Xenopus tropicalis: one gene and its partner. The protein of the gene in region 1 purifies or fractionates together with the protein of each later gene. This does not show direct contact. Links are inferred from orthologs where the notes say so. Each region holds a gene or a part of one and is shown in the gene's direction. Other genes may lie near its edges.

Region 1 (5,742 bases):
CATTTAGCACAGAATCAAATTTTAAGCTTGATGTGTGCCCACTGCTTTATTATGGGGCAGTTACTTCACGTGTTGGGAGGAGTGCTTAAGATATGCGAGCTCTGCTGCAGCTGTAGAATCTCAACCTCATCAGCGATTAAGAATAAGAAAAAAAAAAGCCGGTGTCAAAAGGCAGCACCAGCATCTGGCCTCTGGTCGCAGAAATTTGTATTACTGACATTTTAGGTATGCAGTTCTGGGGTGGGGGGGTTGTAAAGTCTATGATAAATTAAAGACATATAAATTAAAATAAATTAAATACAATTCATAAGTATTATGGGAATATTCCCAAATCAATAGTGGAGCCAGGTGCGTTAGCAGTATATTGGTTGGGCTCCAAGCGAATTTTTGCCGATTTTTCGCGATTGTGCGACTTTTTCGTACGCTTGCGTGACTTTTTAAAAAAAAAAATAATTTACCATTACTCGATCTGTGAAAACTGGGCATCTGAAGCTGTAATGCAGGGGTGGCCAATACGTCTATCGCGGTCTACCAGTCGATCCCCATGGATTTCTGGTGGACCACGATCAAGCCGGGGATGCCGCATTCCGCATCGGTCCGGTCAATCATGACCTCAAAAAGTCTGGCCACCCCTGCTGTAATGTAATTTAACTGCTACATAACCACGTGGACTACCTTTCAAGGTTCAGTTGAGCTGTTGGGCTAGTATTTACATTGTATGTATTGTCATTTAAGAAAATCTATAAAATAACTAATTTCTCTGTCATACATGTTTTAAATCCATTTTTTAAACTTTTCAGTAAAACTTTTTTTAAAGGAGACATCCTATAAAAATTAAGAATGTACCAGTAAATTATACTCCTCTAGATATAGAAGGATTGTGCTTAAAAAAGTTGTGTTTCTGGCTGATTTATTGAGAAATTCCCCCAAAACCTCACTAGTCCCGCCCATCCGTTCCATTTCCTGCTGGCTGAATTCTCTGGATGAGCTGGGGAGCTGGCGGCTCTCAGTACACTGCTCTGTAGGATAGGAACCAATCTGCAGCTAGGCTGACCTGATAGGGAACTGAAGCCTGTCTTTGCTTGTGTGACTGCAGGGCTGTGATTGGCTCTCCCCCTCCTACTGTGCTTCTGGCAGGGACTGTTAGGACACACCCACTCTCCATTTCAAACTTGGACAGAGAAGTGATATGATCTATAGGGAGCTCCAATAAAGGGGCCATTGTTACAGACAGGATTAATTTTTAGCACAAAGTGAAACCAGCACCATATATTTTTCATAATTGCCTACAAAATTAAGGTTTTTACCATTTATCCAATATGTCTCCTTTAATAGAACAGTAAAACCCTAATTTTACATATCCCAGGGGAAGGCGTCAAAACAGCTTAAAATCTGGAAAAATTTTAAATTTGGGGGAAAAAATGACACCACTTGCCTGTATGGGGCCACAAAAAAACAGCGTCAGTTCCAGGAAATCTTAAAATCCTGGTATGTAACCCCAATTGGGGTTCTACTGTATTTGCTTTTTTATGTTATTTAATAATAATTAACTACACCTATTGTATTTTAGTTCAAAGAATGTGCACAGGGGGCCCCTGAGGTCTGGTTCTCTGGTGGGCCCTTGGTACCCCAATCCAACACTGAAGTTACTGATATACTGTATAAGCCTAGAAAGAACACTGCAGTGACCTTTTAATTAGAAATCTTAAAGAAAAATGAAATTTTATTTATACAGCCACACAATAAAAATTATTACTTTACAGTAGAACCCCCGATTTACATTTTCAGGAGAGAAAATGGTGTAAAATCAGGGGAAATGTGTTAAAGCAACTTATTCTTCTTCATGTACTTAAAGGATATAATTACTGGAGTCAGTTTTACTTTAAAACGTAAAATTTTGGGGTAAAATCAGGACAAAATTTTGGTGTCAAATCTGGGGAAACACAGTGACTACAAATTTTGGTTAGAAGTCTAGCGAAACAGTGTAAATTCTATCAAAAGCACCCAATACAATATAAATGTCACAAAGAAGCGCACAAAAACTTAAAACCAGGGGATATGAGATTAAGGTTTCGCTTTTTTATTATATTCGCTCATATTTCGTTTATCTGCTGGATCACTGAGCTGAACAACAACCAATCGTAACGCACACGTGCCAAAGCGCCATTGCTGGCAGAGGAAGGAAGGAACTGGAGTAAGCAGGAAGTGACGTGCGAATTGAAGGCGGTGGAAATCAGAGTGTGTTCCTTGCTATTCCCGGTCACACGTGTCTGCCGAGCGCTAGTCCGTAAGTGCTGCAGCTATCGGTGGACTGACGGCGGGCCAAGATGCTGGTGCTGTTCGAAACGGCGGCGGGCTACGCCATCTTCAAGGTAATCCGTGTCCGGTGGGAAGTATTGATGCTGCTAGTGAAAGGGAGAGCTGAGCACATGGTGGGGCCATTAGCAGGCCACATGGGCAAGCGCTTCACTGTAGCGCAGCTTTAACCTTTGTATCGGGTTTCCTATAGCTGAACGTTTGAATAACATTAATTTGCAACTTTGTAACGCGTGTGCATATTCTAGCTACATTGTATTTATTTTAGAGGAAATATTTTAACAAAGTTTGATTTACTTGTTTTAGAAGTACGAACTACACTACATTACTTGTCTGCTGGAAAAATGCATACTTTTATGAATGTATCGCAGTCAAGTATATTGTATCCTCTGCTTATTTATAATGATATTTTTGGCTTTCTATAGTTGCCCCAGGGAACTCCAGCCAATGTGATATCTTTGCAACACTTTGTCTGCTTTGTTAATTCTGTCTAAAACCAATGTAGTAACTAGAACATAATGGGCCCCACAGCTAGATCAATTTAGGGCCATCTAAACTTTAGAAACAAGACATTTTTACTAAAATAATAAAAGGAATATCAGTTACTGCCCTACTTTGCCTCTAGTGCCTCATAGCAGCCACAGGTTCTGATTCCTTACCTTACTGCCATGACTAAAACCTTATCATTTTTATGAAATTATTTGTACCAATTCCAATAATTTAAAACTATCTGCTGTCTTGCAGTCAGATGTATGCGAAAACTGCATAGTTCAACAGTTCCCTGATAAGGTGCTCATTTGTAGTGGAAAAAAAATATTTGCTACAAAAGCACCTGTAATTGTGTTATGCTGCCAGTGGCATATTATGTTCCTCATATTGGTGGCTTCCCAGGAAAGGCTTAGGTGCCAGGCGAAGTTGTCCACATTAAATATTTGCATGTATGCTGCTAACCAAAACACAACAGGATGCAATTTGGCCTGTATTTGCACACCTGTCTAATACAGTGACCCCCAACCAGTGGCTCGGGGACAATAAGTTGCTCACCAACCCCTTGGATGTTGCTCTCAGTGCCGCCAAACCAGGTAGTTATTTTTGAATTCCTGACTTGGTGGCAAGTCTTGGTTGAATAAAAAGATTTACTACCAAATAAAGCCTCCTGTAAGCGGATAGTGTGCATAGAGGCTGCCTAATAGGCAACTACAGTCCTTATTTGGCACCTCCATGAACTTTTATGATGCTCGTGTTGCTCTCCAAGTGTTTTTACATTTGACAGTGGCTCACGGGTAAGAAAGGTTGGGGATCCCTGGTCGAATACAATTGGGGTGCTTTTCGCATTCAATTCTCTGCTGTAACAGAAGAGCATTACTGGTGGCAGCTGCTGTAACTGCAGCTCAGGGCTTCTGCATGTTCACATTTTTTTTTCTGTTCTCAGCCTGGGATGTTAGGGTTCATTTAATCATGTGTCACTTAACTGAATAAAAAAAATAAACAACCATGATTTAATAATTTAAAATTCTTTTCCCTTCAAAGTGTCTAAAACCATTTCTCTTTACAGGTTTTGGATGAGAGTAAGCTGCAAGAAGTAGACAGCATATGGAAAGAGTTTGAAACACCAGAAAAAGCAAATAGAGTGTAAGTTCTAATAACTGTGCACTGCTGAATTGCATTGTCTAGCAATTTACATTTTTGTTCCTTTCAAAGATATTAAGTAGTTTATAAATTGGCAATATAATTGTGTATCAGCGCCACCTACTGGTCAGTTCCTCTGACTGTAAAATCAAAGAGATGCAGACAATGTAAGGTTAGGTGATACCTAACTGTGTAAGTAAAAATTGCAAGCTTTCGGAGTACCTAGGGTCCTTCGTCAGGCAAAATACAAATGAAAGCTGGGAAGGGACAGCATGTATACTGTTAGATCATTGAAATAGGTTCATGGGAAATAAATTAGGAAATTACAGATAGAGATAACTTGTAGACATAAGAAAAGTAATTAGGATGGGTTCTAAATAGGATATAAAAAAAATAATCCCTCTTTAAGTAGCGTTTAGTGAAAAGAGTAAGGATTACTTTAATTAAAGTTTCTGGGTAACATTTCAGAGGCTATGAAAACTGGGTCTGATATATTTTCCATATTGCCAATGATGGATCCTTTGTTGAACTGATTACTTGTGATTTCATTCAACAATTCGTCACTACCACTGAGGCAATACTTAAGTGTTACGGAAAATTAATTCTTCCGTCTGAATTGGTTTTACTTGGTTTGAGTCCAGGGCTGAAGCAAATAAATTGGTTGGTAGTCCAGGCAAGTTTAAAGTTTTAAATTGCTTTTGTATAATTGCTTTTTGTGTGTGATCTTTAACTTTGTTTAAAGGCGGACCTGTTATTGGTCCACTATAACACACACAGTGCTAACCGTATAGCTTGAAATTTGTAAAATATTTCTGTATTGCAGGGTGAAATTAAAACACTTTGAGAAGTTTCAGGACACAACAGAGGCATTGGCAGGTAAATATTCTTCATATGCTTATCCCACTCTGCCACCATATTTTCATGTATGAAAAACATGCTATACCTGCAGTATTGCTAAATGTCACCTATGATGGATAAATGTTGATCTGAAACAAAATGATTTTAGATTCAACTCTTCGTCACTACCACTGAGGTGATGACAGGTTTATTAATTTCTGCAGATATTGGTGAAAGGATGTTCATTTTTAAATTAGCAATTAACAAGATAAGACACTGCCCCTTTTAGCTAAGTTTTTATATTGTCATAAACTATGAAATTAATTCTCTTACAATTTTATCTTTAGCTTCCACTGCTCTGGTTGAGGGAAAACTCAGTAAAAATTTGAAAAAAGTATTAAGAAAAATTGCAGCAAAGGAGGCTCATGAGCAACTTGCAATTGCAGATGCAAAGCTTGGGGGCGTCATCAAGGTATTTATTATAAATCAAGTGTGTGAGTTACAATAACAAAATTATAAAGGCCAAAGGAGTCAATGCATTTGCGTAGATTCATTCATATTTGTGCATTACACCTACGCTTTTCTTTGTCTTGAATTTTTGTATGTGATCTTTTTGAATGAAAGAAATAATCAATGTGCATTTAACAGTTTTGCATTTGCAGTTTGATGTGGATGAATTAAGTTAGAATAATGAGAGGATGAGTTAAAAACTAAATATTCTTAAAGTATTTCAGTGCTTTAAGAAATTTTAAAACTTTAAAGAAATTTAGCATGTTTCAGAATTGTAATACTACTATTTGCATTGAAGTACAAGGCTGCTAGGTATTTGCCAGAAAGTAAAAGTAACAAAACACTATTGCATGCAGCTGTTCAAGTTCTCTGTACAGTTTCCAATCCAATGCAAGCCGCCATATGGCTGCTCCAGGTCATAGTGTGTAAAAGCACAAATACATTATGCAA
Region 2 (4,814 bases), on another chromosome or scaffold:
GGACTGATCAGAAGATTTGCAATCAGGATGCCTCTCAGCATCATACAGCGAGTATGGACCGACGTGAAAAGGAGAAGTCCGGACCTGGTTAGCTCAATCCAGCGAAGCTTGGAGGAGCAACATGGTGAGTACGTGGATGTGTAACTTTTTCTTAGATTTTTTTTTAAAAGACACTTAGCTCTGCAAGATGATCGGTTTGTTACTCATTTAAACAAATGCTTCTTTTTGCACTTTAGGGCCAAAAGTAAACTCTGTAGTCGGACGCCACTAACATAAATGTTAATTGTAGCTGTTTGCTCTGTGTGTATCTTTTTGGCTAAACTCCCATTGGTTTTCATCTGTACTCTGCCAGATGAGGGATTTTAAAATCATGATTCTTTATGTTTTTTTTATGCCTAGAAACTAATGTTCCTGATCTGATTGCTAACCTGTGCATGCCTTTAATGGAGGGAGATAAAAATACTTATGTAGCTTTCTCATGCAGGAGACAACGCAGTGCCTCAACAGCAGGAGGAGGTGGCAGCGGACGCGCCGGAGGAGGCATGGGCAGCCGCAGAGGTGGTAATGGCTGAACCGGTACCAGACCCAGCTCCACAGCAGCAAGAGCCAGCGAGTCGGTCTGAGTGTGCAATGCAAACAAAAGGTGTGATCACCAAAGAGGAGGGCACTCAGACCAACTTACAATACATTGACTGCTTCCAGGAGATTATTGCTATCTGACAAAGCTTGGCAGTGATGTCCAAATACTCCTGGACAAGTAGTTATTTGTTTTTTTTTTACTTTTTAAAAATTTGTAGTTAAATGTTTAACAGTAATGTTTAACAGAGACTCTGAGAGGAGTGAAGGAGATGGAATTTAGGATAATAGAGGGCACTCCGAGCTAGAATATTCTTGCCTTTTAACCACAAAAAAATACAAATGTAAAGTATATAATATCTATGTGCTAGGGTTTTAGCAATCCCCCCCATAAGAGGATTAAATATACCAATAAAACCCCATATAAGCCCTGCACACCAAAACAAACTTCCTTAGGGAGGTATTATAGTTAAAAAAGCATTTTATTCATCAAAAGCATGATGTCAAGGGAGCTCCCTTGTCTCCTTTTAAAAATCTGATATGTACATTTGGCACAACTGAAGCTTGAAAGGAAGTGCTCTGTGCTGGGGCTTGAGGATTCCCCAGTGATCCAATGCATAGTATGGGCCTCTATCTATAAGCCACTCTCTGCTGTTTAATGTCCCCATACACGGGCCGACTATAGCTGCCGATATCGGTCCCATGGACAGATTCGGCAGCTAATCGGCCCGTGTATGGGCAGAACAGAGCGGCCTGGCCGACCGATATCTGGCCTGAAATTGGCCAGATATCGATCGGCCAGGTCAGAAAATCCGGTCGGATCGGGGACCGCATCGGCTCGTTGATGCGGTCCCCGAACCGACTGCCCCATGGCCGCAAATGTAATCCAATCATTTGGCCCCAGGGCCAAACGATCGGATTATTTTTTTTTCAAGCCACTTGCTACCCGATATTGCCCACCCGTAGGTGAGGATATCGGGTGAAGATCCACTCGCTTGGCGACATCGCCAAGCGAGTGGATCTTATAGTGTATGGGCACCTTAGTCTATTGCTATCACTAACTTTCATTTACAATGGCTTTTGGTTAACGCGCACTACCTTGAATGAAAGCCTCCAGTTGTACACAAGTCTCACACCATAAGCAGCGTGTTATACCTGTCAGCAGAACATTCTGTGCGCCACCACTTACATTCCCCACTAACAAATAAAGCATCTAATAGAGCAACTACGATTTTCTCCCCAAATATATGCTTAACTGACACGTAATTATTGTTGTAATAGCTAATTCAGAGAATAACACATATAATAATAAACCTTCCCTAACTAATAAGCCGATTTTTAACTCAGGTCCGCTTCAACCCCGCCCCTTTCGCGGCCTTTCCCTGCCAGCAGCCACGTGATTATAACTATCCTATTACGCTACAACCCATTCTCTATTGAGGAACGTCCCGCCCCATCCGGTTTTCGTCTTTGCCGGAGCCGCAACCCAGAGACTACTGAGGGACGTCCCGCCCCATCCGGTTTTCTTCTTTGCCGGAAGTCTACAACACGTTGCCACTGCGGAGTTCCCATTAGGTCCATTCGATCATCCTCCGTGAGGCTTGCGGGCTGAGAGGAGAAGCTTTCATCACCGATCCACTGAACGGATAAACACCAAGCGCTGCCATGGTAAGTAGCACAGGCAAGGGAGCCTCAGGGTGCGTGATTGTGTATATTTAGTGCCCATTCGGCCATTATTGCTCTGTAGCTTGGCTACCAGTACACGTGGTGATGGCTGCATTATGTGCCTCTCCATGCCCTTGTGCTGTGTTTGGCGATGAGGTGTGAAATTGCCTGTACCACAGCGCTTGTGTGCGTTGGTTTATAGCTGATCAGTAATATTATATCAGTATGATTCATTTTGAGCGTTTTCATTTAAACCAAATCGGGCATAATGGCCTAACATATGAATTGTTATTAAGAGCACATGGACACAAACTCCTGTAACTTCTGCACCGGGGGTTATGTAGCCCCCAGTAGGTGCTTTCAAGGATAGCCTGGCATGCATAATACTTTCTCTATGGTACAGAGGGTAGTTTATTCCCACTTGTCGGCATGCCACACTTATTCAACCCTTTTTGGATGGTTCTGCTGAATATATTGGCATTGCTGAATTAAATTCATAGAATACTATTTTTTTTTTAATCCTGTTTTTTCAGACTGAACCAGAAGTGAACCCTAAAGCCTACCCACTTGCAGATGCCCAGCTCACAAAAACCCTTTTGGATCTTGTTCAGCAAGCCGCTAATTACAAGCAGCTTCGCAAGGGTGCTAATGAAGGTAAGACATGCCCAAACAGTAAGCTGTAATGTAGTAAATACGGAAAAATATCATGTGTTAGAGACCGTTATGCTGATCATTACATGCATGCCCCCATTAATTTTTTTTTATGCAGAATACATTGGCTTTTGGGCTGCCATGTAATGTGAATCAGGATGTAAAAGGAAACAGCCTTATATTGTAACTTTTACATTATATATATATATTCTCTATATTGTGTTGGTCCCTAAGATCAGGTTTAACTCATAGCAGCCCCATTTAAGATACATTAGACAGTCCTTATTAAAAGGACATTTATAGAAATACAGAGGAAACTTGCAGGTCCATCCAAGGACTTGATATTCATGGTATATCACGGTTTTGTTTTGGGTTTTTTTTGTCTTTGCCCTAGATCATAGCAATTTTGTAGTTACAGCAGCCTGAAAAAAACTAACCCTTCTTGCAATGAAACGCTTTAGACACACTTGGTTTCTGCATCTGGTTTGCACTGCTCTAAAGTTACAGTATAACAAGCTGTGGTGGCTGAGCAGCTGACTTTTAAAGCATCAGTTTTGTAGTGCTGTATAGTGGATACAAGGAACAAAGAAGCTTTAAAAACCTATTATGTACACATTACTATATTACCAGTTAGCTTGTCTAATTCAGAACATAGAAGCAATTCTTTGCTGGGGCTAATTTTGCCTTTATTTAACACCATACACACTAAATGTGAGTGCCCTGTTTACACAAAGTAGCCAGTATAATATATCAGAAGTGTCCTTGATGATAACACACGCTGTTTTCTTTTCCAGCTACAAAAACCCTAAACAGAGGCATAGCTGAGTTTATAGTCATGGCGGCTGATGCAGAACCCTTGGAAATTATTCTACACCTCCCACTCCTGTGTGAAGACAAGAATGTCCCCTATGTGTTTGTGCGCTCCAAGCAAGCACTTGGAAGAGCTTGTGGAGTCTCTAGGCCAGTGATTGCTTGTGCAGTCACCATAAAGGAAGGTTCCCAGCTGAAGCCTCAAATCCAGTCTCTTCAGCAGTCTATTGAGAGGCTGCTGGTGTAATTTGATGGTTGTATGTTCACCTTCCCTTTCAGAAGAGCTGTAAGGCGTTTCATCACACTGTTTGATTTAGTAGCTTTCGAAGAAAACCAGTGGTGAGTTTTGTATCTTTGGCTGGAGCCAAGTTACAACAGCACAACTGAGTGAAGTCTTATGAGTTAACACATTTAACAGCAATTGTAGCTGAGGACTATATTGAGCTGTCATCAGTTTCTTTTTACTTTTTACATTTGCAGTTGTTTTGAATTGCTTTTGTGTCAAACAGGATCTTGAAAGATTTATTTTCATTACACTGACTTGTATTGTATGTATTTTTAATAAAAATATACATGTGAAGTCTACTTGTATTTATTGGGATGTTACAGATTTTCACCACTTTATCATACAGGCCTGCTTGAAATGGGAGTGTTAATACTCACACTGACAGTTTTGCTTTAGTGAGTGGGTGTTTGTTCTTATGGTTTTGAATAATGCCCATATTGTGCTGTTAGTATTTATGGTTGTTGGTTAGACCATTTGTATGGCATGCTTTAGGGGTAATTAAATTTGTCCTTAATATAGGTGCATAGTTGGTGGAAGCAAGATAGCAAGAACAAATTTAATTCAGAGTTCTCAGACTCAACATGGCTTTTTTGGAAAAGGGTTACCAGATGTGTTCATTTAAAAGGTAAGCGTATTTAAGTGGGAGGAAGTAAAAATGTGAAAGTGTATTAAAAGATATAGAAGTAGCAGTAGAACAGGAAAGGGCATGGAAATAAACTTGAGGGAATACATTTAGAGACATGTTTGAACTTTGATATGATGGAATCCAAAAAGCTTTGACATTCTTGGAAAAAGGTTTAATTACAAGTGCTTTATAGGAAACAAG

What was found. Proteins that work in one complex are often made in the same cells at the same time.
Region 2: the proteins of nop58 (region 1) and snu13 fractionate together in Homo sapiens (co-fractionation; 3 studies listed by BioGRID and IntAct, with this or other methods). This does not show direct contact. The link is inferred for Xenopus tropicalis from reciprocal best matches to the Homo sapiens genes NOP58 and SNU13.

Annotation. Positions count from the first base shown.
Region 1 is NC_030685.2:52,323,928-52,329,669, forward strand, and holds the start of nop58 (nucleolar protein 58), read left to right. Parts: upstream 1-2,211; 5' UTR 2,212-2,327; coding exon 2,328-2,372; intron 2,373-3,871; coding exon 3,872-3,948; intron 3,949-4,441; exon of another isoform or gene 4,442-4,530; intron 4,531-4,768; coding exon 4,769-4,821; intron 4,822-4,899; exon of another isoform or gene 4,900-4,989; intron 4,990-5,129; coding exon 5,130-5,254; intron 5,255-5,742. UniProt on the Homo sapiens protein: Required for the biogenesis of box C/D snoRNAs such as U3, U8 and U14 snoRNAs. Part of the small subunit (SSU) processome, first precursor of the small eukaryotic ribosomal subunit.
Region 2 is NC_030680.2:113,913,371-113,918,184, forward strand, and holds snu13 (NHP2-like protein 1), read left to right. Parts: upstream 1-2,136; 5' UTR 2,137-2,241; coding exon 2,242-2,244; intron 2,245-2,774; coding exon 2,775-2,895; intron 2,896-3,686; coding exon 3,687-3,949; 3' UTR 3,950-4,282; downstream 4,283-4,814.